2 linked regions of the Astyanax mexicanus genome follow. The protein of the gene in region 2 purifies or fractionates together with the protein of the main gene of each other region. This does not show direct contact. Links are inferred from orthologs where the notes say so. Each region holds a gene or a part of one and is shown on either strand. Other genes may lie near its edges.

Evidence for each region.
Region 1: the proteins of ift140 (region 2) and ift122 purify together in Homo sapiens (affinity purification with mass spectrometry; 4 studies listed by BioGRID and IntAct, counting the BioPlex papers as one, with this or other methods). This does not show direct contact. The link is inferred for Astyanax mexicanus from reciprocal best matches to the Homo sapiens genes IFT140 and IFT122.

What each region holds. Positions count from the first base shown.
Region 1 is NC_064419.1:15,108,669-15,125,504, forward strand, and holds the start of ift122 (intraflagellar transport protein 122 homolog), read right to left. Parts: upstream 6,665-16,836; 5' UTR 6,565-6,664; coding exon 6,506-6,564; intron 5,222-6,505; coding exon 5,155-5,221; intron 4,603-5,154; coding exon 4,518-4,602; intron 4,287-4,517; coding exon 4,208-4,286; intron 2,899-4,207; coding exon 2,822-2,898; intron 1,525-2,821; coding exon 1,458-1,524; intron 1,362-1,457; coding exon 1,215-1,361; intron 93-1,214; coding exon 1-92. Other genes in the region: mbd4 (methyl-CpG-binding domain protein 4), read left to right, coding at 9,711-9,718, 9,815-9,946, 11,111-11,619, 12,884-12,943, 13,026-13,160, 14,077-14,226. UniProt on the Homo sapiens protein: As a component of the IFT complex A (IFT-A), a complex required for retrograde ciliary transport and entry into cilia of G protein-coupled receptors (GPCRs), it is required in ciliogenesis and ciliary protein trafficking.
Region 2 is NC_064413.1:55,770,569-55,786,782, forward strand, and holds the start of ift140 (intraflagellar transport protein 140 homolog), read left to right. Parts: upstream 1-8,846; 5' UTR 8,847-9,010; intron 9,011-10,749; 5' UTR 10,750-10,751; coding exon 10,752-10,898; intron 10,899-11,952; coding exon 11,953-12,177; intron 12,178-12,990; coding exon 12,991-13,112; intron 13,113-14,255; coding exon 14,256-14,401; intron 14,402-15,007; coding exon 15,008-15,183; intron 15,184-16,214. UniProt on the Homo sapiens protein: Component of the IFT complex A (IFT-A), a complex required for retrograde ciliary transport and entry into cilia of G protein-coupled receptors (GPCRs).

The sequences.
Region 1 (16,836 bases), on a different chromosome or scaffold from region 2:
TTCCTGTACCTGAACCGATGATGACATTGTGGTCAGCGAGGGTTTCTTCAGCTCCATCTCCACACACTCCCCCTGACGGCTCTACCTGAGCACTGCATTTCCAAGTGGGTACAGAAAATCCTCATCTGCCAAACTCTGCAATTCCTCCATGATCCCATCATTTAACTCTTCAGTTCTGCTGGGGACCATGTCCACAACTATCTTACAGTAGTGGTTCTCAAGCCATTTGTCAGATCTCCTATATCAGTGGTTCTCCAACTTTTAAAGCAATGTAGCACCCATGATTAAACCAAAACATTTAAATACCACCTACTGATGCTACTGTGTGAGCCTTACCCACTTCACACCTTACGTAACCTGCAAATGACTGATTATTGATTATGCATGTATTGCCTACTGAGACGTGAAAAATATTGAGACAGAGGGAAATAACAGTAGTGTGGGAGAATAGTGGACTACAGTGTCTACATATTTTACTATTAATACTAATACAGTAACTATTGTTATTGTGTATTGTGGCCTTTTACTGGGTTCAACTGTTGGACCTATGAAAATGTAAAGAACTAAAGTGTAAAACCTAAACTTATAGACATGATCTACCAGGTTAAACACTAAACACCAACAAACCTGATGCTGTGAAAATTAGAGGTAAAAACATTTTAGATTTTTGCTCTTTTTTTCTGGCGCACCACCCTGAAATGCTTTGCATGAACCACAGTTTGAGAACCACTGTTCTAGATGGCTGGATTTATTTTTGTTTGTTTGTTTGTTTGCTTGTTTTTTTTGTGAGAACCACTGACTTGCGTTAGCCCCTTTAACTTGCTGATCCTGGATCAGTACAGCTACAGCTTTCACAATACATAACTGTCCCGCTCCAATTTAGAGAAAACAGTCCGGACACAACCATTAAATACTGTGTGTTAACCAGCGAATTGAAGTGACATAGCTCCCCCTGGTGGATAATGTAACATAGTAAAATATACCACTGGTACTCCTGCTCAAGCTCCTGCATTTACCCTCACATCTGATACTAATATACACTATATGGACAAAATTCTATTATATAATTCTAAGTTTTTGAACTTTTATTTCTTTCTGCAGTAATATATTTTACATCACCATTACCTATTGTCTATGTTTGTATCTTAATGAACATTCACTTGCCCTGATTTATTTATGAAGTGAACTGTGACACATTTAAACTGCAGTCTTACTTTGAGGGGTTCCAGACGATAGACCAGATGGGGGAGGACGAGCCCCCCGGCCTTTCAATCTTCACCTTCTCCTCTCCGTTCTTGTTCCTTATGCTCACCACCCCACTCATCATCCCCAGGGCCAAGTACTGGCCATCGTTCGTCCAGCTAAAGTAACAGACAGACAAACAGACAAACATCAGAGAGAACCTAGTGTTTCATGTTGTCATATGTGATACACTGATGTTACTTGTCATCACTCACCCACAACATGTGATCTTGCTGCTGACTTTATGCTTTGAAACAGATTTCTGTTCAGGAGACCAAAGACCTTCAAAACCAATTGAAATACATATAGTTAGCCTCAGACGAATGACAAATGGTTTAAAACAGTTTATCTAAAAAAATTAACATTACATTAACAGGGAAAAAATATTTTAAAATATTAGATATTATATTAGACATTATCTGTTCAAGTTTGATGCAGTGTGGAAAGGGGGGGGGGGGCTCATTTTTTCCTCTACCTTATTCTTCTCGTTTCTCTCTTTTTTTTATGTTTTTATATTTTAATTTCTCATTTTTCTCATATTTGACCTTTGATTAAAAAAAAAGAAAAGTAGCTGAGAACAAAAGTTTGGTTCTGTCGTGCTCCTTGATAACCTGAGCTTTTGAACTAATTTGCAATGACTTGAAGAATCAATTATTAACCAAACCAGTACCGGATAGCCTAAAAATTACAAATAACATCTTTAGGCATCTTTAGGTAGAAAAGTTTAAAAATGCTTTATTTAACTTACACTGGCATATACCATACTGTAAAAGTGACAAAAGTCATGGGACGTCATTCTGAAGTCCTCTGTATGCTTATACTTGGTGTTCCGTGTCTAAGATGAATTTTTTAATGGGCAGAATAAATTGCCTTTTCAAATGATCCCCTTTTTCACCCTAAACATTTTATTCTGTGTACATTTTCTCATAAACATCACTGAATCCTCTGAATTATGATATTATTTAACAGTTGTAATTATGTATTAATATTCTAAAAGCTAATGCTACAGCACTGCACTGAACAGCCTTCACTGGACAGCAGGACGCTTTGTAAGCTAGCAGGTACAGCCGGCTACTGCGGTTGTTTAAACTGGCAGTCAAGCTCGAGTAGTATCCCGTTTTGGATTATTACACTTCTTCACAAAAGATAATTACAGTATGATAAGAGGTGAAAACCAATTTATTTTTGAGCAGTGCTGCCTGTGTTAAATTTTAGAGAAAGTAAGCATTAGCTGCTCAGTGGTTCTCAATCCTGGTTTTGGACAAGTGCTTCCCCACAAGTTTTACTGTTTATACTAATTACAGCACACCTGATCCAACTGTGGTAATGTACTAACTGACACACCTTTACATTGCATCTCTTTCCACATAAACTGCCTTTCTTTAGTGAAAGGGGTCAATCAGCTTGCTGGTGAGCTGTGAGTGGATAAGGGTTGAGGTGTTAGTGCACCTTGTTGTTTAGATCAGCTTAATCACAGTAAAAAAAAAGCTAAAAATTTGAGCCAAAAGCTACAAACTACTGAAAGGTTTAATTCGATTTTAACAGTGATTTAAAAAATGTAGCATGCAAACACACTCACCAAAGTCCCCCGAGGAGCAAGAGGCAAGCTGGTGTGTGACAGGGTTGTAAGATACACACTGGATGGAGTCATTATGGCTGTAAGAGACAAGTTATCATTTACATATTCTGTAATATGGCATTGTTTTTTCCCATTTCTATACATTATAACTGTCAAAACAGTGTCAAAAGACTCAAAACTCATATATATGAGTGAAGTGGATTGTTGTATATCGCAATGTTATGTTTTGCAATACTGTATCGATTCCGAAAAACACAGTTTTAATTTGTTCCATTTGGAACCAAATTTACTGCTAAATCTCTCTTCAGATCCTGCTGTTTTCATTGGATAAAAAGGAAACAATTTTTATTTCATGAAGATTTTATTCAAATGTATTATTATTGTGTGTTTTTATACTTTGCATTAGCAATTTATCATTTTGCCAGCAGTACTACAATACATCACAAATTAATTGTAAGCCCTGTATCATGATAAGCATTGCCTTGCTCATTGCTAATACATTGCTGTAGTCAATCAATCAATACATTGAGGGTAACCCTCATTTTCAATGTAGCCGAGCTTACATAAAATTAAAGGGATTGAAACTTACATTTAAATTATAAAATCAAGCAAACAATGTAAGATTTAATTAAGACAACAATAAAATAATTCAAAATAAAAGGATATGCAAATAGGCTAAAATGTAGAGCAATAAAACAAAGAGATAAATACGTAGAATAATAAAATATAAACACAGTTAATATAAATGTAAATATATATAAAATTATAAAAATGTAAATGATGGAACTAAAATAAATAAATAAATAATAATAATAATAATAATAATAATAATAATAATAATAATAAGTACAAAATATATTAAAATAAAAGGAAGAAAATACATGAAATAAAAATGTAAAAGGCCAAAAGTAAAGGCAGTAACAAAACAAATAAAAGGATGAAATGAATAAAATAAATAAAATAAAAGTGCTTACTTGTAAAACATAAAATTAGATAAATAAAAAGACAAAATAATTTTAAATAAGTTACAGGCTGTCTGAGGATGGTTAGATATTAAAAGTTTAAAATGATTTAGTGACACCAGCGAGCTGGGTTTTAGGGTTTCCTGTAATGAATTCCAGCTCGCTGATGCACTGTAGCTAAAAACAGAAAAAATAGTTGGGTAGGTTGTTGCTATGTGTTGGTTTTCCAGGTGGTTTCTATGGTGTTTTTAGATGTAAGATGGTTGCCCTAAAGCATTCCAGGTGGTTGCTTTGGTGTTGCTCTGGTGATTATAAGTGGTAAGTACAACACCATTAATAGTGTAAAGTGAGAAATAAAGCAGCAATTGTGGTTATGATAGCAATCCCCATAACCATAAATCACATTAAAGTAGCACAAACTCACGTGTATTTGAGAATGCCCTCCAGTTTTGAGGTCCAGATAATGATGCTTTTGTCTGCAGAGCCAGATGCAAAACGCTTTCCTGACCAAAGAGAAGAAAAGTTCTGAGAAGTTATATCAAGAATAAAAAATACTGACAGTGGCATCATACGCTGCACATATATAGAGATATGTCTCTCAAAATCCAGATCAATACTAATGTCAAAGAGAGCATCACACTAAATACTTTTTCTGTCAGTTAAGTAGACAAAGCATTTGAGAAACCGAGCCCAAAATAGTATTAATAAGTATTATTAAGTATTAATAAACTTACCATCCTTAGCGTAAGCCACACAGTACACAGTGTCTTTATGGCCTTTAAGTGGCTGGATAAGGGTCCCATCAGCTGTATCGTAAACCTGCAGCAGATTTGTTTTATGTTTTAACATTTTAACTAAACTCAGAACAAAATCCACCAATAATATTGTAAATTTAATATTGAAGACTATATTAAAGCTATACAAGAAGACATGCAGAATTATTTAGTAAACAAAAAGTATTAAATAAACCAGTATGTAGAAAACAAACTAAAGAAAAACACTGAATTAGACAGTGTCCCTGGTACTGTAATTTCTGTACTTTTGTCAAAATATACAGAATTTCTTTTACTGTTTTTTTTTTTTTCCTTACAGAATAACTTGCCATGTTTTTCAATATTTTGTTTGTTTGATTTTGTTGACTTACCTTAATAAATATAACAAAACATTTATCTATTTATATTGACCAAGTTGAGGGTGGGCTATATGGCATGTTTTTGATTCAGAACACATTTATTTCTATAATTATACCCTAGATTTTTTTTTTTAAAGTTGGATGAGATGTTTACAGACATTTGTACAATGTAGCTTAAATAAATTAGCTTAGAATTTATAAACAACTAAAAATCCTTTCATAAAAGAAGCACCACATACCAGCACTCTGTTTCCAGCTGCCACTATGAGCTGACTGCCATCTGGTTTGAACGCCAGGTCATAAATGCTGCCACACAGAGGAAGACAAAGCAATACATCAAAGAGATTCCGTTTTTAATTCAGATCAGTTTATGTTGGCTTGTTTATTCAGATTAGTTTATGTTGGCTTGTTGCAGTTTAGTTTATGACAAATTTACAGAATCACACAACCACAGAATAGACAGACTGGCCTGCAAGCTAACCTAGCTAGTTAACTACTAGAGTTGCCACCTATCAGAAATAAACAACAAACAAACATGGCTCCTCAACTTCTGTGTGGCATGGTGCCAGCAGCAGTGGTATGTTTTATATACATACACTTTATTTTAATTTCAATTTATTATTTTTATTATTATTATTATTATTTTACAATTTGTTATGCGGTAGAATATTTTTGTGCATAGTTACACCACTGTAATAATATAACTTATGTAATAATCACTGAAGACTGTATTCCCCAAAAATACAAACATTTTGATACAAAATACAGAGAAAGCTCTACAATAAAGGTTTTCTCTCAAATGAAGTTAATTTATGTATTTGTTTATTTATTTATTTAACTGTTAATCCATTAGTATGATTTGTTCTTTATATGACCATATATAATACTTATTTTGGCTAATACTGCTGTATATTAAATGAATGAATCATTAATTTGACTTTGTAACAGAACCTGTGTGTTAGACATGTGTTTTGGACATTTATGGAAATAACGTTACCGAACAAACCACATTTAATTAACAACATTTAATTGCCAAATAAAGGACGATTCTGTGTTTTACGGGACGAGTGGCAAACCTATGAGCTACACATTATTTCTCATACACCTACAGCTATGCCCTGCTTTGTTTAAAATGCTTAATTCAGACGCGTAAATATGTTTTTGGTTTGTCAGTAAACATTAACGTTACCGACACTGCTTTGGTAATCTAGCTAAGTTACTTTTACATGAACTAGTTAAAATGAAAGGCTAGCTTAAGCTAGGTTAAACCGTTAGGGTTGTTAACGCTGGTTAGCTAAGCTAAATAAGCTAGGTTGTGTTTTATCCAGTATTGCAACTTAACAACAGCAGAAACCAGAGAAAATACCCTGCTGCTGCACCGCCAGGCTGCTAAATACTACACAAACGACATATTTCGCTTTACAAATTTATGTAGATATCGTTAGCTTAGCCACATAGCCAATATAAGCTAGTAAGCTAATATTGACAAACCCCTCCAGTGGTTTACATAGTAACCGCCGTTGCTAACCACATCCACTGATCAAAATTCACACAAACAAAGCCAGCAGTTTATAAACCAGCGAGTCTCACCACTGCTCAACCTTATCCCGGTCGTGTACTTTATCTATCCATGTGGGAACAGCTCGCATCGTTGTTTTTAATGCTAAATATTTCGTTAAAATTCGCTTTGTGGCGATATCAACAGGTCTCCGGTGTAATACGGACGGAGCTCTGCCGTCACCCCGTCAAAATAAAAGTTCTGAGGACCCGCTACCCATGTTTAGAAAATTTGCTGAGCACACTTAAAATATTCCTTCATGTTTCTGGAGAGAGATTACTTATAAAATATTATTAACTTAAAATGTATTATATATATATATATATATACTTTAACAATGTGGCGATATAAATGATTCTATGTTTTTTTTCTTTTATGTTGTGATAAAAATTGTACACAGTCTGTACTCGATGCTATAAAAAAGTTTTGGTACTTTCAGGAAAATAAATGACTTAATTCATAAATGTAGAGTTACACTGTTAAAATCCCAGATTTTTTTATGGACATGTAGTTACCTTGCAAAACAAAAACCCTGTATGTAATTTTATTATCTTAAATTCTATCTACAATTGTAGCTAACATAGCTAGCTAACAAGCTATAGGTCTCTGCTTAAGATAATTTATGTTTTTGTACTCCACTTTCTGCTCTTTCTTTACATTACAGACTGTATCAAATCATTTAAAATTGACGTAATCACTTAGATATATGTGATACATGTATGTCTTCTTTGAAAACAACAATTTGTTGTCTTATTTGTATTTGAATAATCAAAAGAAATAATAATAAGGAAATGTATTAATTACTAACTAACTAACTAATATTTTTGTTATATTTTTGTATGAAATTTATTAGCATAATAGGCATATTTTTTAAATTATATATTTATTAACTTTTACAGATAGAAACATTTTAACTATAAGTAATGAAAAATAAAATAGGGATATGGTACAAAAGGAAAAATCACAGATTGTTTAGTGTTTTCATTGATTTTTTAATGTTTGTTTTGAATTAAATAAAGTGAGTTCTACAATGAAAAAAATGGTTTGATACAGTATTCATTGTTTTATCGTTGTACTTTTGCATGTGCAAAATGGCAGCTAATTCATTAAAATTATGTTTGAGTCACCATGTTTTTTAAAGGGTTGTTTTTTTATTGTTTATTTTTGAGGTTGTTTATTTATAAAAGTAGCTGAGCTAGCTACAGAAGATCCAGTTCACTCTGAAATTTTAATCTGATAAAGGTCCTCGGAGAAGCTCCACAGTACAGTAGGTGGCAGTAGTAAGGTAGGTGCTGAAATCAGGTTTTACAAGAAGAAGAATTATAAACACACCAAAGCTTCAGTGAGACAGAAATATAAACAAACTAGGAAAAGTTTAAAACGGCAGAAATCTACGGGACATAGTGGCGCTCATGTCATGTGAGGAATATCAAAACTATTTTTATACTTAACAATGACAGTTCAAAATATTTTATTTAATAAAAAAACTCTGCTTATGTCTGTTGGAAAGAGGTGGGATGTACGTTAATGAAGTACAAATACTTTGTTAACCAGGCAAACCTACATTACTTAAGTATTAATGTTGATTACGTATACTTTACTAGAGTAATTATTTTTACATTTTCAAACAATTATCTAAATGTACTGCTCCTTACATTTTAAAAATAGTTTCGTTACTCCTATTTAATTTCAGCTTGTTTTTATGACGGCTTCTCATCCTTCAGTAAAACCCCTAATAAGATAAATCTCTCCATCAGGATAGAGTGAATCTGATTGTGATTGGAAGAGAAAAGTATAAACATATACCATTCCGACACCATATTGGTTTATACCATCCATCACACCTGCACACCTTTATATATGCAGCTAAAACAGGGAGCCTAGTGCATCCAAATGTATAAAGATTAACATTTTAATATAACATATAGTCTTTATGGCTTTTAGAAAAATGTGTTTTGGGGAAGGAGGTGGGGGATGTAGTGCACTATAGTACTCTGAGGCATAGCTGTCAAGTCTCCCGTTTTGGCCGGGAAACTACCGTATTTTACTCGTCTTTCCCGCCGTCCTCCCGTATTAGTATTTTCCCGTAAATTTCCCGTATTATATTAAAATAAAAAAATATATATTATTGAGGAGACATGGCACTGACCGCTCTGTGTCTCTTAACCAATCGTGGAGCCGGTTCAAGGAGAAAGTCCCGCCTTTCAGGAGAAACAGCCAATCAGCTTGCAAAGGAGGGTCAGTGTGGGGAAGCCCCCCGTCGCAGTTGGAGCTGCTGATGTTAAAACAGATCTGGATATACAAGCGATTTTTCTGATAGCTGCTTTAAAATACTCGTCTCCGAAATAAAACACACAGATTAAACCTTTTAAAATAAACTAATTTACAGCTTGTGACTCAGTTTAACTAGAAATTTGGAGAGGACCGAAATTAACTGAACTGATCAGGGGTGGAGTGATCAAAAGAAAGAAGTATTAATTAAAAATTATTGTGTAGGCCCCTTAGGACAAATATTTACTGATGAAACATATCTGGTCCATGTCCTTTTAGTAAAAGCTCATGATACTATGTTTAGGTCACCAACAGTCATTTTGCAGAATTTGTGCACCCTTTGTTCAATTTTAAATCCATTAAATAAATAAAAAATATATCATATAAAAGAGTGCATTTATTACAAAAAAGACATGAAATCTTAATTTTTTAAAAAAAGAAAACGATTTTTAATTTGGCTGTATTAAAAGAATGACATATGTAGGAATGTCCACAACATTTCAGATTCTTATAATCTGATTGTAGTGTGTAAGTGGTTCACTTGTGGTTATTTTAGATTTTTTGTAAACCTGTCTTAAAATGTAAGGGATACTGAACCTTCGTTGGGCTGGTGGGACGGCTTTAAGCGTACAGAGGAAAATATCCCTTATTTTTAAATCTAAAACTTGACAGGTATGCTCTGAGGCACGGCCTAAGCTTTTGTAAGTAGTGACTTTTACATTACTTTTACATTACTTTTACTTTTATACTTTAAGTTGTTTTGAAACCAGTACTTTTACACTTTTACTTAAAGGGTAAAAAGCTTGAGTTGATACTTCAACTTCTACAGAAGTGTTTTAAACCCTATTATCTATACCTCTACCTGAGTAATAAATGGAGATACTTATCACGCCTTTGGTTGGAAACCTTGCACAGAAATGCTAAAAAACATGCAGTGAAATTGGTGGCTCATTAGTTGTAACTCAAATGTACAGGTAAAGCAATATGTCTATGTTAGTTATTCAATACATAATATCATTATATTCTGATTTATCTGAATGTTGTGGAAAATCTTGTTTCTGTTGCTTCAGTTGGATTTGGCTAGATTCTGTGTGTTGCACTAAAAGAATGACCACACAGGGTCTCCCTTCTGGCTGGACCAGAGAGACAAGGCAGAGGAAACGGGGGAAGACAGCAGGAAAAGTGGACACCTACATCATCAGGTGGGTGTTTATTAGAAGGATGTCTACAAAAACAAATTTTTGGGACATTATCAGAATTCTACGCCTTATGGCTTTTTATTACTTTGATGACTTAAAGCAGCACTAGGTAGGATTTCCTTGATTTTTGATATTTTTAAAGAAGTAAAATTACAGTTTGAAACTCACTGCAGCGCTAGGAATAGGAAGAATAGCGGTGCTCTCGTGTCTGTGCCGTAGCTCCTCCGACCTGCTTTCCGACCTTTAGTTCTAACAGTTCAGACCGAATATGTCTGTGAAAGACAGAAAACGAGAAAGAGAAACTAATCCGCCTAAAACATTTATTACACTCTACGACTGTAGGGCGAGCCCACGAGCACAAAATCTCAATCCTACCTAGTGGAGCTTTAAGACACCTTTTAACTATTTTTCAAACGTATCAGATTGTTTTATTTTATTGTAAGTAAAGTGTTATATGTGTCCACTCTGTCATGGTAATCTGCACACCAGGGTGGACTTCAATTGATGAAAATGTGGTTAAGCTAGAGTTGCATAAGTTATATTTTTATGATGAACTTCTTCTGTATCAAATATTCTTTTTCATTTTTTTTTATTAATTCAGTTATTTTGAATGTTTACAGTGACAGGGTAAACATTAGTATGGAGACAATATGAAACAATATAAGTGAAATATTAAATATTAAATATTAAAATATAAATATTCACTTAATTAATATTAAGTGAAGTTGTTCCTTAAGTAAAAGTGCTCAGTCCCTTAAAAGTAAAACAGTGTGAGGGTTGTGATGTCCCTGGTTGCTTTCTTAAAGGGGGCAAAGTAATCCCAAGTACCTTTATACAACCTCTAAACAAACTTTATACCTTATTTTATTTATTTAACCTTTTATTTTATTTTAACCTTTAAAGGGCTTAACATTTTACTTTATATAATTTGTAAAAATCCCTTTATTCAGAGTAAATCTTAACAAAAATGTGTTGTTATTAGTCTAAACAACATTTAAACAACAATGCAACGAACATAAAAGGCAAGTTGTATAACTCAGGTGCAGGAATTACAGTCTTACTGTATTATGTTATTCTTCTCAGTCATAATGCTATAATATAAGTGAAAATAAGCAGTATTCTGTTTTTCATCTTGATATATTTAACGTAAATGTGCTTCACTGTCAGTCCTGAAGGCAGACGCTTTCGATCCAAGTCGCAGCTCCAGAACTACCTGCAGTCAGATGAATGTGCTGATTCTCACCTAGAGCTGGAGATGTTTGACTTTACTTCACCCAAACACTACAGTGAAGCAGCTCAGCAGCAGGAAAGTAAAGCAGGAAGGCAGAGAAGTTTAAAACAGAAAAAGAAACCTGTGGATAGCCCTAATCCAGAACCGCAGGATGGAGTAGTGACAGAAAATGGAAGAATCAAAACGGAAAAGAAAAGGAGGAACCAGACAAAACGGCATGAAGAAAACGGACTCGGAGAGGAAACGGAAAACAGAAATATTAAAACGGAGGATGAGTTACCCAGCGTGTCTTCAGCACCAGCACTAACAGTACAGCCTGCCTCAGAGAGTGAAGGAGAGAATGTAGAAGAGCTGGAGAGAAAGGAGAGAGATGCAGTAAAAGAAGAACAGATGAGTAACGAGGCCACAGGGGGGAGCTACTCGCCTGCCAGAAACACAAACAGCGGTGAGTTTCCCCCTCAGCACTGCCTGCCTCAAAAACTATGGACAATAGGCCTGGGCAATAAGGCAAAAATATATATCAAAATATGTTTCTTAATTTCGGTCAATAAGATGTAATTCTGATATTAATATATACAGTATAAAAGCACTGCCAGTGCTGTACTTGACAACATACCGACAGAGACTGTTGTAGTAAACCTATTATATAGCGACATTAAAACAATCACAGTAATTTGACGTTTTGGTTTAAAAAAGGCATATTGCTGAAATGATTTAAAATGTATCACAATATGATAAAATATCATCATATTAAATCAAACGGAGAAAAACAACTGGGTTTGATAGATCCAAATTTGTGGGGAAATCTTTGTAGAGTTGGCGACACGTCTATCACAAACTCAGGATGTAGAGAGAATTAAATTTAATTTTCTTACACCCACTTTATTATACTCCAGATAAGCTGCATAATTTTCATTGAAATTTGGATGTGATGTTGTTGTTGTTGATGTTACTTTTGTACAACTGTACATGATCATGCCCTAAATTTGATATTCTTGGTATATTTTTTCCCAATAGTTCCAAAATTCAGCCTATTGGATTATTTTACCAACAGTGACCTTAAAAATAGTTCACTAAAATCCTTTTGATAGCAGCTAAAATTTGTGTTGCTCGTACCTGGAAACTCGAGACCAATATTCCTTTCCAAATGTGTATTTCTAAATTTAACCAGCATATACTCCTAGAAAGAATCTCCTACTGTCTAAGAAACAAATTGAACATGTTTTTAAGGTGTGGCAGCCCTTCTTTTACTATATTGAAAATAGACTTAGGCTGATACTGATCTTTAAAATACATAATTTTATCTTTGACTATAATTGTTAGTTACACATTAGGTTCATCCAATTTGTATTATTTATATTTATACTATATGTATAATTATATTATACTGTATGTCATATTAGAACAATTTCTTAAAAGTTAATTTATTTACAGATTTCCATGTTTTCTATTTTTGTATTTATTACATTACATTATTGACTTGTTTGTGTTTAATGTTTATGATTCAAAAAGCAAACTAAATAAAATACACCCATCCGAACCCTAATTACATTGCACCAAAATAAAATCCTCATAACTAAAGTAGTAGATAGTGAACACGTTTAAAATATGATAAATCAGTCTCATTCTTCAGTATTCTTCATTATTCTTCTGTACCATAGTGATTTATGTTGTTGCACAATAGCATTTATTTCACCTCTTTGTTATAGGGACAAAGTTGTTGGCAGAGAAGAGGAGAACCAGTCCTTACTTTACTAGAAAGAGTGATGGTAGGTTCCCCTGAATCCTGTAATTTTAATATGTAAATCTTTTACTGTAAAGATTATGGCCTTCTTTCTCTCTCTTCCCGAGGTCTCAGTCCTCCAAGACGCAAAGCATTAAGAAAGTGGACTCCACCACGTTCCCCTTTCAATCTGGTCCAAGAAACCCTGTTTCATGATCCCTGGAAGCTTTTAGTCGCCACCATCTTCCTCAACAAGACCAGTGGTAAATATCAGCCAGAAATACACTTCTCACAATGATCCCACATGCAGTTTTACAGAGATATTCACAAAACTCTACATATACAAAAATGAGATATAAGAATTAGTGGTGTCAACCCATTACAAATAAAGAATCAGATTAATCACAATTAATCACACATTTTCCTCTTCTTAAGACTAAGCTTTTAACAATAAAGAAAATGTAAAAAAATGAATCAATGTAAGATTGGCTAAATAAAAATATATATTAATATACAGTACCAGTCAAAAAGTATACCTTCTGATTCAACTTTTTTTTCCCTACATAGTAAATGAATAGTAAAGTGATTCAGACTATAAAGGAACACATAAGGAATCATGTGGTAATTTAAAAGTATTAAACAAACCAAAATACTCTGTAGGTGCTCTTATCTTGGTTTCTGTTAACTTGCGGTTTCTGATGCTGGTAACTGCTGATGAACCTATACTGTGCAACAGAGGAAACTCTTTCCTTCCTTTCCTGGGTTGGTCCTGATGAGAGCCAGTTTCATCAGTATCAGTATCTCATTCTGTATCTGCACTTTACTCATAATTACTCTGATACCTACTGGACTAACTTCGCACTTCCACACACATACTCTAAATATTTGCACATGTATGTAGCATTGTATTATCTGTATATTCAGTTATATTTTACCTTATATCCACAGGGCAATACCATTTGTCTATAATGTTAATGAGTTATTGTATATTTAGGTAAATTGTTTGTTCTGTTCATTTTTTTTACTCTACTCTATATTGTAAATATGTTGTTATCTGCATACTGTGAGAACTTGCACAGGTTTTTCACTCACCTGTATACCTGTACTCTGTGATGTGACAGTAAATCTGATTTAATTAGATTTTTTATTTTATGTGATTTATCTTGTTTGTATGAGTAGGAAAGGCAGCAATTCCAATACTGTGGCAGTTTTTGGAGCGTTACCCATCTGCTGAAGTTACCAGAGCCAGTGAATGGGAACCGATTGCTGAGTTACTGCAGCCTCTCGGTTTAAACACTCTTCGAGCCAAAGCACTCATACGCTTCTCTGGTGAGTGATCATTACAGGAACAGGTTACTGACAACGAAACGCAAGATTTTACAGGATCAGCTAAGATGTTTTGGGTTTATTTTTTCAGTGAAGCTACATCATTAACTTATCTACTGAATAATGCAGGTCCGTTACTGTATACTATATTTGTCTTGTAGATCCAGTGTGAAAATACAAGAAAACACAGTGCACCGGATTATAAGGCACACTATCAATAATCTGGTCTATTTTCATACATAAGGTGCATTTGATTATGGTGTTGCCATGTTTTCCTTCTAAATCAGCAGGTAGACCTGTAACAAAACTGTAATTCTTTAAAAAAATTAATAATAATAATTTTAAGTCAAACGAGCGCTGGATGTTAATCTACACAGATTCCAATCCTGAAAACGTGTAAGCTTAGATTTCCAGATTTCCACTAGTGCTAGCTATATTTAAGAATGCCACATATTACTGCGAGGATCAGCTGATCTTCATCTAGTAATTGCTGGAGGGAATGTGAAAGAAAGAACCTCAAATTTTGTTCATATATTTTGGTCCTGTGTAAAACAAAAAAGTATTGGGAGGATATCTATGATGCCCTTCAGTCAGTTTTTGATGTTCCTGTTCCGAAAGAGCCGTTGGTATCACTGTTGAGAGCTGTCCCTCAGGGGTTTGACAATAGAAACCAGATCTGGTTTTATTTGCAGCAAAAAAATTGGGGAATAACTGTGAACTGGTTCAAAACCACTGTCCCATTGTATGAATCTTGGGTAGTGTCTATGGGTGAAAATGTGCTAAGAAGTTTTAATAAGGCTTTAAAAATGTCCGGCAATGTTAATAATGCTTTGAGACCAACTGTAATTGTGTAATCTAAATGGAGTGTATATGACTGTCAATGAAAATAATTATATGAAAACCATCATAAGGCCTGAATGTAAAATGACTGTAAAATGGTGAATAATACTTGATCTTAATAAGTTCAATAAGTTAAAAAAAAGAGTACCTGTAGGAGAAACTATAAGAGTAATTGTACAAATATGAGTACCTACAGTTGCATGAAAAAGTATGTGAACCCTTTGGGATTACTTGGATTTCTGCATAAAATAATCATTAAATGTGTTCTGATCTTCATCTAAACCGCAAAAGCCCAAGGAATAACATTTTGAGTAGACATAAATGATGATGGATTTATTTAACAATAGACACACACAGTCTGATTAAACCAATACCACACAAAAAATTATATGCATACTTCTATTGAACACATGTTAACATTTACAGTAAGAGGGGAAAAAGTATGTGAACCTTTGGATTTAAGAACTGGTTGATTTCTCTTTTGGCAGCAAAAACCTCAACTAAACGTTTCCTGTAGTTGCAGATCAGACCTGCACAACAATCATTTCTCTTCACTAAACTTCAGTTTCAGTTCAGCTATAATATTCTCGGGATATCTGGTGTGAATCGCTCTCTTGAGGTCATGATGCCACAGCATCTCAATTGGGTTGAGAAGGTCAGGACTCTCTAGAACATACCTGTCAAGTTTTAGATTTAAAAATAAGGGATATTTTCCTCTGTCCGCTTAAAGCCGTCCCACCAGCCCAACGAAGGTTCAGTATCTCTTACATTTTAAAACAGGTTTACAAAAAATCTAAAATAACCACATGTGAACCACTTACACACTACAATTAGATTATCAGAATCTGAACATGTTGTGGACATTCCTACATATGTCATTCTTTTAATACAGCCAAATTAAAAACCCTTTTCTATATCTTTTTTTTTTATTATTTAAGATTTCATGTCTTTTTTTGTAATAAATGCACTCTTTTATATGATATATTTTTTATTTATTTAATGGATTTAAAATTGAACAAAGAGTGCACAAATTCTGCAAAATGACTGTTGGTGACCTAAAAATGGTATTATGAGCTTTTACTAAAAGGACATGGACCAGATATGTTCCATCAGTAAAAATTAGTCCTAAGGGGCCTACACAATAATTTTTAATTAATACTTCTTTCTTTTGATCACTCCACCCCTGATCAGTTCAGTTAATTTCGGTCCTCTCCACATTTCTAGTTAAACTGAGTCACAAGCTGTAATTTTTTTTTATTTTAAAAGGTTTAATCTGTGTGTTTTATTTCGGAGTATTTTTAAGCAGCTGTCAGAAAAATCTCATCACAGTTTCCATGATTAGACTACCGTTACCTTTCTTTTAGAAAAATCGCTGCATGTATGTTTTAACATCAGCAGCTCCAACTAGCTGCGGGGCTTCCCCACACTGACCCTCCTTGCAAGCTGATTGGCTGTTTCTCCTGAAAGGCGGGACTTTCTCCTTGAACCGGCTCCACGATTGGTTAAGAGACACAGAGCGGTCAGTGCCCTGTATCCTCAATAATATATATTTTTTAATTTTAATAAAATACGGGAAATTTACGGGAAAATACTACTACGGGAGGACGGCAGGAAAGAGGAGTAAAATACGGTAGTTTCCCGGCCAAAACGGGAGACTTGACAGGTATGCTCTAGAAGGCGTATTTTCTTCTGTTGAAGCCGTTCGGTTTTTGATTTACTTCTATGTTTTGGGCCGTAGTACTGTTGCATCATCCATCCTCTATTGAGCTTCAG
Region 2 (16,214 bases):
TACAATGAACTCTGATATATATATAACGAACTCTGATATATATATAATCAACTCAGATATATATATATATAATGAACTCTGTTATATATATAATGAACTCTGATATATATATATATAATGAACTCTGATATATATATAATTAAAGCGATATATATATATATAAAATGAAAGCCGATAAAATAATAAAAGTCGATATATATATATATATATATATATATATAATGAAAGCCGATATATATATATATATATAATAAAAGCTGATATATATATAATGAAAGCCGATATATATATAATGAACTCTGATATATATATATATATATATATATATATATATATATATATATATATATATAATGAACTCTGATATAAATATAATGAACTCTGACATATATATAATGAACTCTGATATATATAAATAATGAAAGCGATATATATACATAATGAAAGCGATATATATATAATGAACTCTGATATATATATAATGAAAGCGATATTTATACATAATGAAAGCGATATATATATAATGAAAGCTGATATATATATAATGAAAGCGATATATATAATGAACTCTGATATATATATATAATGAAAGCGATATATATATAATGAAAGCGATATATATATAATGAACTCTGATATATATATAATGAAAGCGATATATATATATAATGAAAGCGATATATATATATATATATATTGAAAGCTGATATATATATATATAATGAAAGCGATATATATAATGAACTCTGATATATATATATAATGAAAGCGATATATATATAATGAAAGCGATATATATATAATGAAAGCGATATATATATAATGAAAGCGATATATATATATAATGAAAGCGATATATATATATAATGAAAGCGATATATATATAATGAAAGCGATATATATATAATGAAAGCGATATATATATAATGAAAGCGATATATATATAATGAACTCTGATATATATATATAATGAAAGCGATATATATATAATGAACTCTGATATATATAATGAAAGCGATATATATATAATGAACTCTGATATATATATAATGAAACCGATATATATATATATAATGAAAGCGATATATATATATAATGAAAGCTGATATATATATATATAATGAAAGCGATATATATAATGAACTCTGATATATATATATAATGAAAGCGATATATATATAATGAAAGCGATATATATATAATGAAAGCGATATATATATATAATGAAAGCGATATATATATAATGAAAGCGATATATATATAATGAAAGCGATATATATATAATGAAAGTGATATATATATAATGAACTCTGATATATATATATATAATGAAAGCGATATATATATAAGGAACTCTGATATATATATATAATGAAGCGATATATATATAATGAAAGCCGATATATATATATATAAATATATATATATATATATATATATATATATATATATATATAATGAAAGCCGATATATATATATAATGAACTCTGATATATATATATATATATATATAATGTCCCAAGACCAAGCGTTCCCCGACTTCCTTCGCTCTGCCTTGGAACAACAAGGAGCTGTTCTTGGGAGGCACCACAACCAACTAGACTCAATGTCCAAAACTATGGAGAACATGACAACAAGACTAGCTGACCTGGCGGCCCAGATCCAGCACCTCCACCTCTCCCGGACAGCTGCCACGGCTGAAGCTACACCTGCCACCCAAGCCGAACCGACCCCTATGACACTGTCAACCCTCCATACTCCCGAACCCCGTTTGCCCCCTCCAGAACGGTACTCAGGTGAACCTGGCAGCTGCCGCGCTTTCCTCACCCAGTGTGACTTAGTCTTTCAACTCCAGCCTATGACCTTTCCGTCTGATCCAGCCAAGGTGGCGTATATCATAACGTAACTTTCGGGGAAAGCCAAAGAGTGGGGAACATCAGTCTGGGAGACAAAGCAGCCATTCTGCATGATCTACAAAGATTTTGTGGAGGAAATGAAGAAGGTCTTTGACAGGTCGAAGTATGGGAGAGAGGCTGCCAGAGAGATGTTGGTCATCCGCCAAGGCAACAGGTCAGTTTCTGATTTTGCTATCCAGTTCCGCACCCTGGCCACCTCGAGTGGCTGGAACTCCGAGGCCCAGCACGACACCTTCCTCCATGGTCTATCAGAGGCAGTAAAAGACCAACTAATAGCCCAAGACCCCCCTAAGACTTTAGACGACCTTGTGGACCGTGCCATTCGTATTGATAATCGCCTGCGACAACGCCAAGGAGGGGGGTTCTTCACCAGGCTTCAGAGTGTACCAGGCTGCACCGTATCCACACATCGGTCTACACTAGGCCTGACCCCACCCCCACCTCCCACACCAAGCAATGTCGAGCCCATGCAGGTAGATCGTACCCGGCTGTCACCTACAGAGAGGCAAAGAAGAATTCAGTCCGGTTCCTGCCTCTATTGTGGTCAGTTGGGACATCTGGCTGCCACCTGCCCGCTAAAAGCCAACGCTCGCCAGTAAAGCGAGGAGTACTGGTGAGCGTGACTCCTGTTAACCCACCCTCTTCCATTCCTTGCAACCTGTTCCCTGCAGTTTTAGAATGGGGCCAGCAACGTCAAACCTTTCAGGTGCTTATTGACTCAGGAGCTGACGAGAGCTTCATTGATGCTTCTCTAGCCTCCAAGTTGGCCATACCCACATCTCCCCTTCAAACACCCTTACTGGCAAGGGCTCTGAATGGAGCATCTCTGGGAGAGGTCACTCACATCACCTCTCCAGTCAGTCTCACTCTGTCTGGCAACCACCGTGAGTCGATTACCCTATGCCTTGTTGATTCCCCTCAAGCCCCCCTCGTCCTGGGCACCCCCTGGCTAGCCAAGCACAACCCTCTCATTGACTGGTCTAAAAACAAAATTGTTGGTTGGAATCAGTCCTGCCATTCCCAATGCCTGCGCTCTGCTATGCTTTCAGAGTCCCCTAGCCCGGAACCCCATGAAGAGTTCCCTGACCTGTCTGAAATTCCCCTAGAATACCTGGATCTGAAGGCGGTGTTTAGCAAGTCCCGAGCCATATCCCTACCCCCGCACCGACCCTATGACTGTGCCATAGAGCTTCTACCTGGCACATTCCCCCCCAGAGGTGGTCTATATTCGCTCTCTCAGCCTGAGACTGTGGCTATGAATAAATATATATCAGAGTCCCTAGCTGCGGGTATCATTCGCCCCTCTTCCTCACCAGCAGGTGCCGGTTTCTTCTTCGTGGGCAAGAAGGATGGCTCACTTCGGCCCTGCATTGACTATCGAGGACTAAATGAAATAACTGTCCGAAATCGCTATCCCCTTCCTCTTATGTCCTCTGCCTTTGAAATGCTTCACGGTGCCACGGTGTTCAGCAAATTGGATCTCCGTAATGCCTACCACTTGGTCCGGATTAAGGAGGGAGACGAGTGGAAGACCGCTTTCAATACCCCCTCTGGCCATTATGAATATCTTGTCCTCCCATTTGGACTGACCAATGCTCCTGCCTTCTTTCAGGCTCTTGTTAACGATGTCCTCAGGGACATGCTTAATAAGTTTGTTTTTGTTTATTTGGACGACATCCTCATTTTTTCGAAGTCCTTACCAGAGCATATTGCTCATGTCCGAACAGTCCTTCAACGCCTCCTGGAGAATCGGCTCTATGTGAAGGCAGAAAAAAGTGAGTTCCATCAAGACACCATCTCCTTCCTGGGCTTTGTGGTCTCCACGGGAACCCTACAAATGGATCCTAGCAAAGTGCGGGCTGTGGTGGAGTGGCCCGAACCATCTACACGCAAGGAGCTACAGCGGTTCCTTGGTTTTGCTAATTTTTACCGCCGGTTTATCAGGAACTATAGCACCCTGGCAGCCCCCCTGACTTCTCTCACATCTTCCGCTGTGGCCTTCCACTGGTCCCCATCTGCCAATAAGGTCTTCCAAGCTTTGAAATCTTGTTTCACCTCTGCCCCCATCCTCGTACAGCCTGACCCTGACCAACAATTCATTGTGGAGGTAGATGCCTCAGATGTGGATGTGGGGGCTGTCCTCTCCCAGCGCTCTACTAAGGATCAGAAGGTACATCCATGTGCCTTTTACTCCCACCGGCTCTCCCCCAGTGAACGCAACTATGACATCGGTGACCGAGAGCTCCTGGCGGTGAAATTGGCCTTGGAGGAGTGGAGGCATTGGTTGGAGGGGAGCACATTGCCATTCCTGGTCTGGACTGACCATAAAAATCTGGAATATCTGCGCTCTGCCAAACGCCTGAATCCCCGTCAAGCCCGCTGGTCCCTCTTCTTCTCCAGATTTAATTTTACCCTCTCCTATCGCCCTGGGTCGAAGAATGGAAAACCTGATGCCCTTTCCCGTTCATTCAGCAGTTCGGACAGTACCCCTTCCCCCACCACTATTCTCCCTGAACGCTGCCTTGTCGGCGCCGCCATTATGGACATTGAGTCACTGGTACAGAATGCTCAAGACTCTGAATCCACCCCCAGTCAGTGTCCGTCTAATTGTTTGTTTGTCCCAGTTTCTGTCCGTCCACAGGTGCTGCAATGGGGTCACTCCTCCCACCTGTCCTGCCACCCTGGAACCAGACGAACCCAGTCCTTTATCAAGAGACGGTTCTGGTGGCCGTCCATGGGGAGAGAGGTCCGCCGATTCGTCTCTGCCTGTCCAGTCTGCGCCCAGAACAAGAGGCCTACTTAACCTCCATCAGGTCTATTACAGCCTTTATCTATACCCAAGAGACCCTGGTCCCACATTGCCCTTGATTTCATTACCGGCCTGCCCGAATCTAACGGCAACACTACCATTTTAACTGTGGTTGACCGGTTTTCTAAATCTGTTCATTTTATCCCTTTGCCCAAACTACCATCTGCTAGAGAGACCGCTAATTTGCTGATAAATCATGTTTTTAGACTGCATGGGCTCCCCGTAGAGGTGGTCTCGGACAGGGGTCCACAGTTTACATCTAGGTTCTGGCAAGCCTTTTGTAAGATGCTTGGTGCTTCAGTCTCTCTCTCTTCTGGTTTTCACCCGCAGTCTAATGGCCAGACGGAGAGGGCGAACCAGCTTCTGGAGACGGTTCTACGCTGCCTGGCCTCCCAGAACCCCTCCACCTGGAGTCAGCAGTTGCCCTGGGCCGAGTACTCTATCAACTCGCTCACCTCCTCTTCGTCTGGTCTGTCACCCTTTGAATGCTGCCTGGGTTACCAACCGCCCCTGTTCCCCGACCAAGAAGTGGAGGTTGGGGTTCCCTCTGCCCAAGCCTTCGTTCGTCGCTGCCGTCGGACATGGCGCCAAGCATGCTCTGCTCTCCGACGTGCCTCGGCCAGGATCAAGAAACAGGCGGACAGGCATCGCACCATGGCCCCTCGTTACCAGGTGGGCCAGCGTGTTTGGTTGTCCACCCAGGACCTTCCACTTAAGGTGGACTCCCGCAAGCTGGCACCCCGCTTCATCGGCCCCTTCCCGATTTGTAAACTTATCAACCGGTCTGCTGTTAGGCTGAAGTTGCCCCTCATCCTTCGCCGCATCCACCCCACTTTCCACGTCTCCCGCATCAAGCCATTCATTTGTAGTCCCATGCACCCTGCCCCTGTACCCCCTCCTCCCCCCCGACTCATTGATGGCTCTGATGCCTATACAGTGCGTCGGCTGCTGCAGGCCCGTCGACGGGGCCGTGGCTGGCAGTATCTTGTTGACTGGGAGGGTTACGGCCCGGAGGAGAGGAGCTGGGTCCCTGCGCGCCAGATCCTCGATCCCTCTCTCATCAGGGACTTTCACCGTCGGCATCTTGCCCAATCCACTGTTACGCCGGGAGGCGTTCGTTGATGGGGGGGGTACTGTAAGGGTTCTATCTGCGGGCCCCTTTGTCTCCATCTGGTGGACATTTGTGGGTATTGACCTGCCTTTTTGATCTGAACTCTGAACCTTGATTGTCTGTGATGCCATCCACCTGTGACTGTTTGACCTTGTTGTTTCCTTGCCTCTCATTGGTTCTTTCCCCCCCTCCTGCCTTATTTAAACCCTGGATTTTGGGTAATCTGCCTCGGATTGCCGTGCCGTGCCCTGTCAACGTTTTGTGAGTTATTCCTGTCTTTATCCTTCGTGCTGTTCTGTTGTGTTTTTTTCTCTCTGAAAGGATTTAAGTGGGATTTTTGTGAACCTGTTTTTTGTTTGGACAATTGATGGACTGTTTTTGTGGGTTTTTGTTGGACACTCGATTAAGTGGGATTTTTGGGAATCTGTTTTTGTTTGGACAATTGATGGACTGTTTTTGTGGGATTTTGTTGGACAATTGATTAAGTGGGATTTTGGGAATCTGTTTTTGTTTGGACAATTGATGGACTGTTTTTGTGGGTTGTTTTGTTAGATATTTTTTGACCTGCTTAAAGGGATATTTTTGTAGAGATTTTTGCTCCAACCTGTGGATTTTTAGTTTGGTATTTTTGGGAAAAGGTTTTTGTCCTGAGAAGAGGAAGTTTGTGTTGTATTCTTTGTTTGACCTAATAAATCAGCACTCTCCCGATTTCTCTCTGCTTTTGGGTCCAATTTCTAGAGCCCTGACATAATGAAAGCGATATATATATAATGAAAGCCGATACATATATATACATATATATAATGAACTCTGATATATATATAATGAAAGCCGATATATATATATATATAATGAACTCTGATATATATATAATGAACTCTGATATATATATACAATGAACTCTGATATATATATAACGAACTCTGATATATATATATAATCAACTCATATATATATATATATATATATATATATATATATATATATATATATATATATATATATATATATAATGAACTCTGTTATATATATAATGAACTCTGATATATATATATAATGAACTCTGATATATATATATAATTAAAGCGATATATATATATATAAAATGAAAGCCGATAAAATAATAAAAGTCGATATATATATATATATATATATAATGAAAGCCGATATATATATATATAATAAAAGCTGATATATATATAATGAAAGCCGATATATATATAATGAACTCTGATATATATATATATATATATATATATATATATATATATATATATATATATATATAATGAACTCTGATATAAATATAATGAACTCTGACATATATATAATGAACTCTGATATATATATATATATAATGAAAGCGATATATATACATAATGAAAGCGATATATATATAATGAACTCTGATATATATATAATGAAAGCGATATTTATACATAATGAAAGCGATATATATATAATGAAAGCTGATATATATATAATGAAAGCGATATATATAATGAACTCTGATATATATATATAATGAAAGCGATATATATATAATGAAAGCGATATATATATAATGAACTCTGATATATATATAATGAAAGCGATATATATATAATGAAAGCGATATATATATAATGAAAGCTGATATATATATATATAATGAAAGCGATATATATAATGAACTCTGATATATATATATATAATGAAAGCGATATATATATAATGAAAGCGATATATATAATGAAAGCCGATATATATATATATATATATATATATATATATATATATATATATATATATATATATATATATATATATATATAATGAACTCTGATATATATATATATAATGAACTCTGATATATATATATATATATATATATATATATATATAATGAACTCTGATATATATATATATATATATATATATATATATATATATATATAATGAACTCTGATATATATATATAATGAACTCTGACATATATATAATGAACTCTGATATATATAATGAAAAATATATATATAATGAACTCTGATACATGTATAATGAACTCTGATATATATATAATGAAGACCCTTTAATGTTAAGACCCTTTAAGAGGTAAACGGGTGGTCCGCACAGTCAGCCTGAGAGACTGCAGGTGGCGTTGTGGTTCAGCCGGCCGCAGCTCTTCGCGCAGGGGAGGCCGACCACCGGCAGGCAGCGAGGCTCATTCTCTCCACGGAGGTGCGGCGCGACCGGCCAAAGTGTCAGGGGGCGAAGGTGGCAAACAAGCTCCGGCCCGCGAGCTGCTTTCCCCGAGCCGGGGGCGGTCTACCAGCATACAATATATATATATATATCAGCTTTCATTACATATATATCAGAGTTCATTATCTATATATATACATATCAGCTTTCATTATATATATATATATATATATATATCAGAGTTCATTATAAATAAATATCAGAGTTCATTATATACATATCAGCTTTCATTATATATATATATATATATATATATATATATATATATATATATCAGAGTTCATTATCTATATATATATATATATATCAGCTTTCATTATATATATATATATATATATATATATATATATATATATATATATATATATATATATATATCAGCGTTTATTATATATATATCAGCTTTCATTATATATATATATCAGAGTTCATTATATATAAATCAGCTTTCATTATATATATATATATATATATATATATATATATATATATATATATATATATATATATATATATATATATATATATATATATATATACATAAATAATAATTGTATATATGTTTTTAATTTGGTAAAATCAAAGAAGCTCATCATTTTTAGGTGTTTTCTTTTGCTCTCTCCAGAGCTGTATTTCTTATTCTTTATGTAGAGAAGTTACCAGTCCTATGTGCCCTAACTAGTGCCCTAAGTAAGTGAATTGGATACGCCCAGGAGAGTCCGCCAATCAGAGCCCAGCCTGCCTCCCGTAGCCCCGTCCTGTTGGTTGTCTCGGTAACCGGGACTCAACGCCTCTCGACCAGCAGCAGCAGCGAAAACACGGAGGATCCGGTACAAATGAGAGTAAAAAGAGAACAAACCGCTTCATATAAAGTCGAATCTGAATAAAACGGATTACGGGCTTTTCTGCGGACCGGTACAGAGCGCTGGGGTAAGAGTGCAGGCTGTTATTCGCTGCGGTTTATCAGTTAGGCCCCGCTATTCGGGTAACGTTAGTAGTGTGGAGGGATTAGCTGCTGTTAGCTAGCGATGCTAATACAGCTAAATTAACTTGTTACCAAACAAACCGGTTCATTTAATACAGAATACAAACTAAACCGGATTAAACCCGCACATTTACACCATTACAGCGGGGTTTTCTGTCAGCGAGCGGGCTGTTCACTTAAATAACATTTATTTTACTAAACAGATAACTTACAGTGTATTAGCTGTAGCTATCAGTTAATGGGTTATATGGGTTTAACTTTTATAGTTAAGTGTTTTTATTATTATTACAGCTAAAGGCTTATTTAAGCAGTGCCACAGAATATACATTAACATATTTTAATAAAGAACCCTGTTTTTTCTGAATCATTTATTTATTTATTTATATTTTTACTTATTTACTTATTTTTTATTTGTACAGCTCTGAAAAAAAATAAGGGGCCATCTAAAATGATGAGTTTCTTCCTCTGGAATATAAATCAAGAGGATCAAAAATGGATGATCACAAGCCATTAAATCAAACTGAACTGCTTGAATTTTTGCACCAGGAGTAAAGCAGCATAAAGATATCCAAAAGCAGTGTGTAAGACTGGTGGAGGAGAACATGATGCCAAGATGCATAAAAACTGTGATTAAAAACCAGGGTTATTCCACCAAATATTGATTATTTCTGAACTCTTAAAACTTTATGAATATGAACTTTTTTCTTTGCATTATTTGGTCTTTGGTTATTCCTTAAGTTTTGTTATTTTGTGCATTTCTCATTTACTGTAAATAAATGCTCTAAATGACAATATTTTTAATTGGAATTTGGGGGAAATGTTGTCCATTGCTTATAGAATAAAACAAAGAAAAACAAATCAACCTTTATTTTTTTATTCTGTAATACAATGAGGGCAATCCTCATTTTCAGTGCAGCTGAGCATTTGCAACTTAAACATACTGGAAATTAAATTGAATTTAAAATAGTATTTAATCAGGTTAGAAAAACGAAACAATAAAGATTTAATGACAAAAGCGTTAGAAAAACAAGCAAACAATTATGACCTAATTAAGAAGAAATAAAATAATTTCGAATAAAAAGATAAGTGTACATGCTTAAATTTAAAGCTGAATTTAAAGTTGAAACCGTAGAAGACTAAAATATTTGAGTTATTAGTTTATAGATCAAAACATCATTTTATTAAACATTTACCTATGAATAGCAAAATCAGAGAAACTGATTCAGAAACTGAAGTGCTCTCTTCATTTTTTCTAGATTTTTTTTTTGCCAACTATTACTTTTTAGATCCCTAAATGTTTTGAAGCATTACAATTGAATTTAAATAAAAAAAGAAAAATATAATAATAATTAGAAAAATTGCTGTGGTGGGTCACTTTTATTATTATTTTTTTTTTATTATTTTATTTCATAGGCTGAGATGATTGAGATCTATATTTTGGAATTATTGTGATTTTGAGATTCTGTGTATATTTCTTGCTGCTGTTCGCTTTCTGTTTCTGCCTATCAATGTGAATGATTCTTTAACTTTATAAAATATATTTATCTTGTATTTTTATGTATTTAGTGTTGTGTTAGGGTTTTTTTTCTCAGGATGTTTGTATCCTCTGTAACTCTCAGGCTAATTAGCTGCTGGTTTGGTGATCAGGGATCTCACTGTGTTCTGTCCCCTGTGTTTATTACAGGTATGGCTGTGTATTTTGATCACCGGGTTCAGGCTCCAGACAGCAGTGGATCAGCAGCTCTCTTAGCCTGGCACTCCTCTCAGCCCCTGCTGGCAGTCGCTTCCATCAACCCTGCATCCGGAGGAAGTGTAGACATCTACCTGCAGCAGGTAAGAACAAGTGATATTGCACTTACTGGCCTCTTTATTAGAAACACCTACTAACTCCCTTCAGGGTTCGTACGGTCATGAAAACCTGGAAAAGTCATGGAATGTGAAAATAGCAATTTCCAGGCCTGGATAAGTTTAGCTCACACATTTTATTATTAAGTCTTTCTTTTAGATTAATTTTAGCCACTATAATCAATTTTACTTATAGTTTTAGTTGATGTTTAGTTTTATTGTCCATGTCTGCACTGATGTCTTAAAAATCTAAAAGTCATGAAAAAAATCATGAAAATCTTTTGGTTAAAAAGTCAATGAACCCTGTATCTTGTGCTTCTTTCACTCAAAACTCTAAAAGTCAGCTCACTGTAGTCACTAAATAATGTTTTATAAACTTATTTTAATTTCTAACCACCTTCAGACAGATTATAATTGTTTTAGTTGAGTTATTTTATTTATTTGTCTTTTTATTTATCATTTTTTTTGTTTTACTTTTTAGTGTCTTTATTTGTCTCATTCCATGTTTTTTATTTGCCTTTTACCTTTTTATTTCATTTATTTGATCCTTTTTTATTGTCTTCTATTTTACCTTTTTTTTTCTATCACTCACTTTCTTTATAATCTTATTGTTATTTTAGATACTCCATTGTTTTAGACAATTATTCATTTAATTATGCTTATTTTTTATTATTCTAATTATGTATTTATCTCTTTATTGTATTGCTTTACATTTTAGCATGTCCATTTATCCTTTTATTCTGAATTATTTTATTTCTTCTCAATTAAGTCTTATGTTGTTTGCTTGCTTGTTTTTTTATCAAATATATTTTTCAGTACAACAGTACTGTTGGAATGTCCTAAAGAAGAAAGTCATCACTGGTGTACTGACTGGTGTACTTTTTAAGTCCTTAAACCCTTTAAGTTTTAACTGCTCGGCTGCATTAAAAATGAGTGTTCCCCTCAATGTATTACCAAGTGAAGATGGATAAAAGTTGATTGATTGATTGATTGTTTATTAAAGAAACCTCTACAGTACCGTGTGGTTGTGTGTGTGTTGTAGGGGGAGCATGTGGAGTTGTGTCATGTGGAGCGTGGGTTCAGCCCGGCGCTGCTGCGGTGGCACCCCACTAAACCCCTGCTGGCGGTGGGCTGGGAGACGGGCGAGACCCTGCTCCTCACACACCCCCACGGAGAACAGACCCTCCTGCCCCAGAACACACACACCGCCTGCATCACACTGCTGGAGTGGAGCTCCAGTGGAGCCAGACTGGTGACTGGAGATGAGGTGAGCTCCATCACTTCCTGACCACGTCCTGTTTCTCTTTTTTAGAATCAGACTCTACTGTTAAAACAACTAGAGTCACTTAAAACAAGACAAATTAACTGTGTCTTAAGTTAAATTCAAAGTGTTCTGCATGTTTACTAGGGCTGGGTGTCGCTACTGATCTACAAAATCGTTCCAATTTGATTTATTTCGATTCTGAATCATGCAGCATACAGGTAATGATAACATGTACATGTAGTGTATTTTTTGCACTATAAGGCCCACTGGATTATAAGGCGCATTTTATGTAACTCTAGTAAGGAACAGGGGTGTCGCCATGTTTTCTTTCTAATACAATAAAGCTAAGCTAAGTAAACAAAATTGTAATTCTTAAGGAAAAACATTTTAGTCGAGTCAGACAAGTCAATCGATTGCTGCATGTTAATCTACACAAATTTCTCACCTGAAAACTGTTTATTTACAGTTAACTTAGATTTACAGATTTCCACTACAGCTGGAGCATTTGCATTAGCGGCTAACTGCTAACGATAATGCCTTTTGCACGTTTCGAACCACACATGGTGTACTTTTCCCGTCGTTACGATAGCAAAGACACACTGACGCTCCAAGTCAAGCTGCACGGTGCACTAATGACATGCCCTGTATCTTCATCATGATAGCAAAAAAAAAACGTAATTTTTAATTAAAGTCAAAGTAAAAAGAACAATTCAAAGAACAAGTGCAATATTTACATTATGGAGAAAAACGGTGGAAAAACAGCAAAAATGGAGATGCTCATTGTGTGTGTGTGTGTGTGTGTGTGTGTGTGTGTAGGCAGGGGTTCTAGCCTTGTGGAAGGTGGATGCTAGAGGAAGACTGCATGGGAATCATGTGACCAAACAACAATACAACAAACCCCTAACCACCTGCATCTTCAGACCCACACCTCCCACAGAGTAAGCACCGCACCTAACCATCACCTAACATCACTTTACTGTACCTCACATCACCTCACATCACCTCACATCACCTCGCGTCACCATACATCACCTAACCATCACCTAACATCACCTCATGTCACCTCACTTCACCTTAAACCCCTTAACATCACCTCACACCACCATACGTCACCTAACCTCACCTCACATTACCTCACATCACCTCACACCATCATACATCACCTAACATGACCTAAAACCCCTTAACATCACCTCACATCACCTCACATCACCTCGCATCACCTTACCTCACCTCGCATAACCTAACATCACCTTACCTCACATCACCTAACCTCACCTCACATCACCTTACCTCACATCACCTAACCTCACCTCACATCACCTTACCTCACATCACCTAACTTCACCTCACATTACCTTACCTCACATCACCTTACCTCACATCACCTAACCTCACCTCACATCACCTTACCTCACATCACCTAACTTCACCTCACATTACCTTACCTCACATCACCTCACATCACCTTACCTCACATCACCTAACTTCACCTCACATTACCTTACCTCACATCACCTCACATCACCTTACCTCACATCACCTAACTTCACCTCACATTACCTTACCTCACATCACCTCACATCACCTTACCTCACATCACCTAACTTCACCTCACATTACCTTACCTCACATCACCTCACATCACCTTACCTCACATCACCTAACTTCACCTCACATTACCTTACCTCACATCACCTCACATCACCTTACCTCACATCACCTAACTTCACCTCACATTACCTTACCTCACATCACCTAACCTCACCTCACATCACCTTACCTCACATCACCTAACCTCACCTCACATCACCTCACAGCACCATACACCATCATACATCACCTAACATCACCTAAAACCCCTTAACATCACCTCACACCACCATACACCACCATATGTCATCTAACGTCACCTAACATCACCTAAAACCCAAATATGTTTACCATTAAATTGGACTTTTGCTAATGTTCATTATTGTGCATTACATTTTTTCAATAAATAAGTGGGTATACATTGATTTTGTGTTACACACATGTAATTGTGTGTGTGTGTGTGTGTGTGTGTGTGTGTGTGTATGCAGGGATGTGGCGATGTTGGCGAAAGCAGCAGTCAGTGGTGATGAAGATGCCCTGGATAAGTTTAATTGGAGGAAGAGCAGTAAAGGGGGCGGGGTTTGGTCTCCTGGGTCACAAGAAGGACTCACTATCTACGCCAGCACAGCCGACGGTCAGACATACACTGCCTACTTAATATCAATATCAGTATCACTACTTCAGTATTCAGAATTAAGTTCGTATAATGTTCATATCCAGCTCTAATAATATTCTTTACCAGAATAATTCAATAGTACATCAATAAACGTCTATTTTTTGGTCTATTTTCATACATAAGGCGCACTGGATTATAAAGCACATTTTAAGAGACACTATAAGAAACTTCTAATTCAGCAGGTCTTGCCTCTGGTGGTGGTGGGGGGGGGGGGGGGGGGGGTAGCTAAATAAGTTAAGTAAAGCTAAGCTTAAGTAAACAAAACTGTAATAAAAAAACCTTTCTTTTAAAGTTAAAAGAGTGCTGAATGTTAATCTACACAGATTTCTTTCCTGAAAACTGTTTATTTGGGTGAGTAAATCGCTTCAGTTTATTTACAGTAAGCTTACATTCCCGAATTTCTCCAGCACTAAGGCTGGAGCATTAGCATTAGTGGCTAACCTTTTCAGCAGCGCTATCTGGGGTTAGAAGCAGGTTACACGCTAATAATACTTCTCTCTAAAAAAAGGGAAATAGCGGTTAGCGGCTAATACTAATGCTATTGTGTGTGTGTGTGTGTTATAGGGTGTGTGTACAGTGTGGATGACCGGGGGCGCAGTGTGTCCCTGCTGACTGTAGAGGGCAGAGTGCAGAAGATGTTTTATTCGGAGCGCAGAGCCATGCTAGCTGTGGTCACCGACTCCCTGCTGCTCTCACAGTTCAGCCTCGGTCCAGAAGGAGGAGCTCAAGAGCTGAGCAAGGTAATGTCATGTTTTAAATATTTACTACAGCAAAGCTATTTTAAAGAATTTAATTAGTGTGTGGGAGTTTTAACGTGCTGTATTTTAATACTGACTGAAATTGCTAACACAAAAGTGAAAGAAACAAACAGTAAATGCTGTATTTTTGCCTTATAAGCTTTACATTTCTGAATGCTGCTGCTGTACTTTTAGTGGTGGTTAAATGTGGTCTGTATCGTTTGCTGATTTGTGTGGTTAGTGGTGTTTGTTAGCTCTGCTCTGTTGCTGTGCTAATAGCTTCTCATAGGCTACTGTACAGGCTGAGTGTGCACTCTGGAGAAGGGTATCCAGTTAGTGTGGTTAAAATATTATTCTCTATCCTCCACAAGACGTATTAGTCTTACACATTCTAAATATATGAGTTAATATGAATAAGTAAAATAAGACTAAAAACTTGATACACAGATCAGTTGTAACACTTCTAAAACAGTTTATACCATGAGAACTTCCCTAAACAACTCAGTAACTCAAATATAAAGAAGTCATTTAAAATACAGACACATAAACAGGTGTAAAATAATGAAACTCTTGAGGATAGGTAGAAATAGTAGCTATAGAAATAAATCTAGAATCAGATAAGTTAAAACGTTATCTTACTTTGTGTCACAGATTTGAACTTGAACCATCAAATTTCACACTTAAACAAAAGGAAATTAGCACATCTGAACTGGGAGAAATGGAGGAGCATATCTGTTTAGTCTCCCTCATCTCTTACTGCACACACCTGCATGACTAAGCACCTTATTACAGCCAAGGCCCCTGATTGGCTGATGGGCTTTAATATGTGCACCAATGAGGGAACTTATTACATGTTGAGAGTATTAAAGGCTTTTTAAACAGTGTGGTTGAACAGCACAGTTCTAAGTTATAACTGGAGCTTAAAAGGTTTATAGTGTTTAAAAGGTTTATAATTTTTTAAGTTTTATAACTGGAGTTTAAGAGCTTTATTATAACTGGAGTTTAAAAGCTTAAAAGCAATTGTCTGCAGTGCT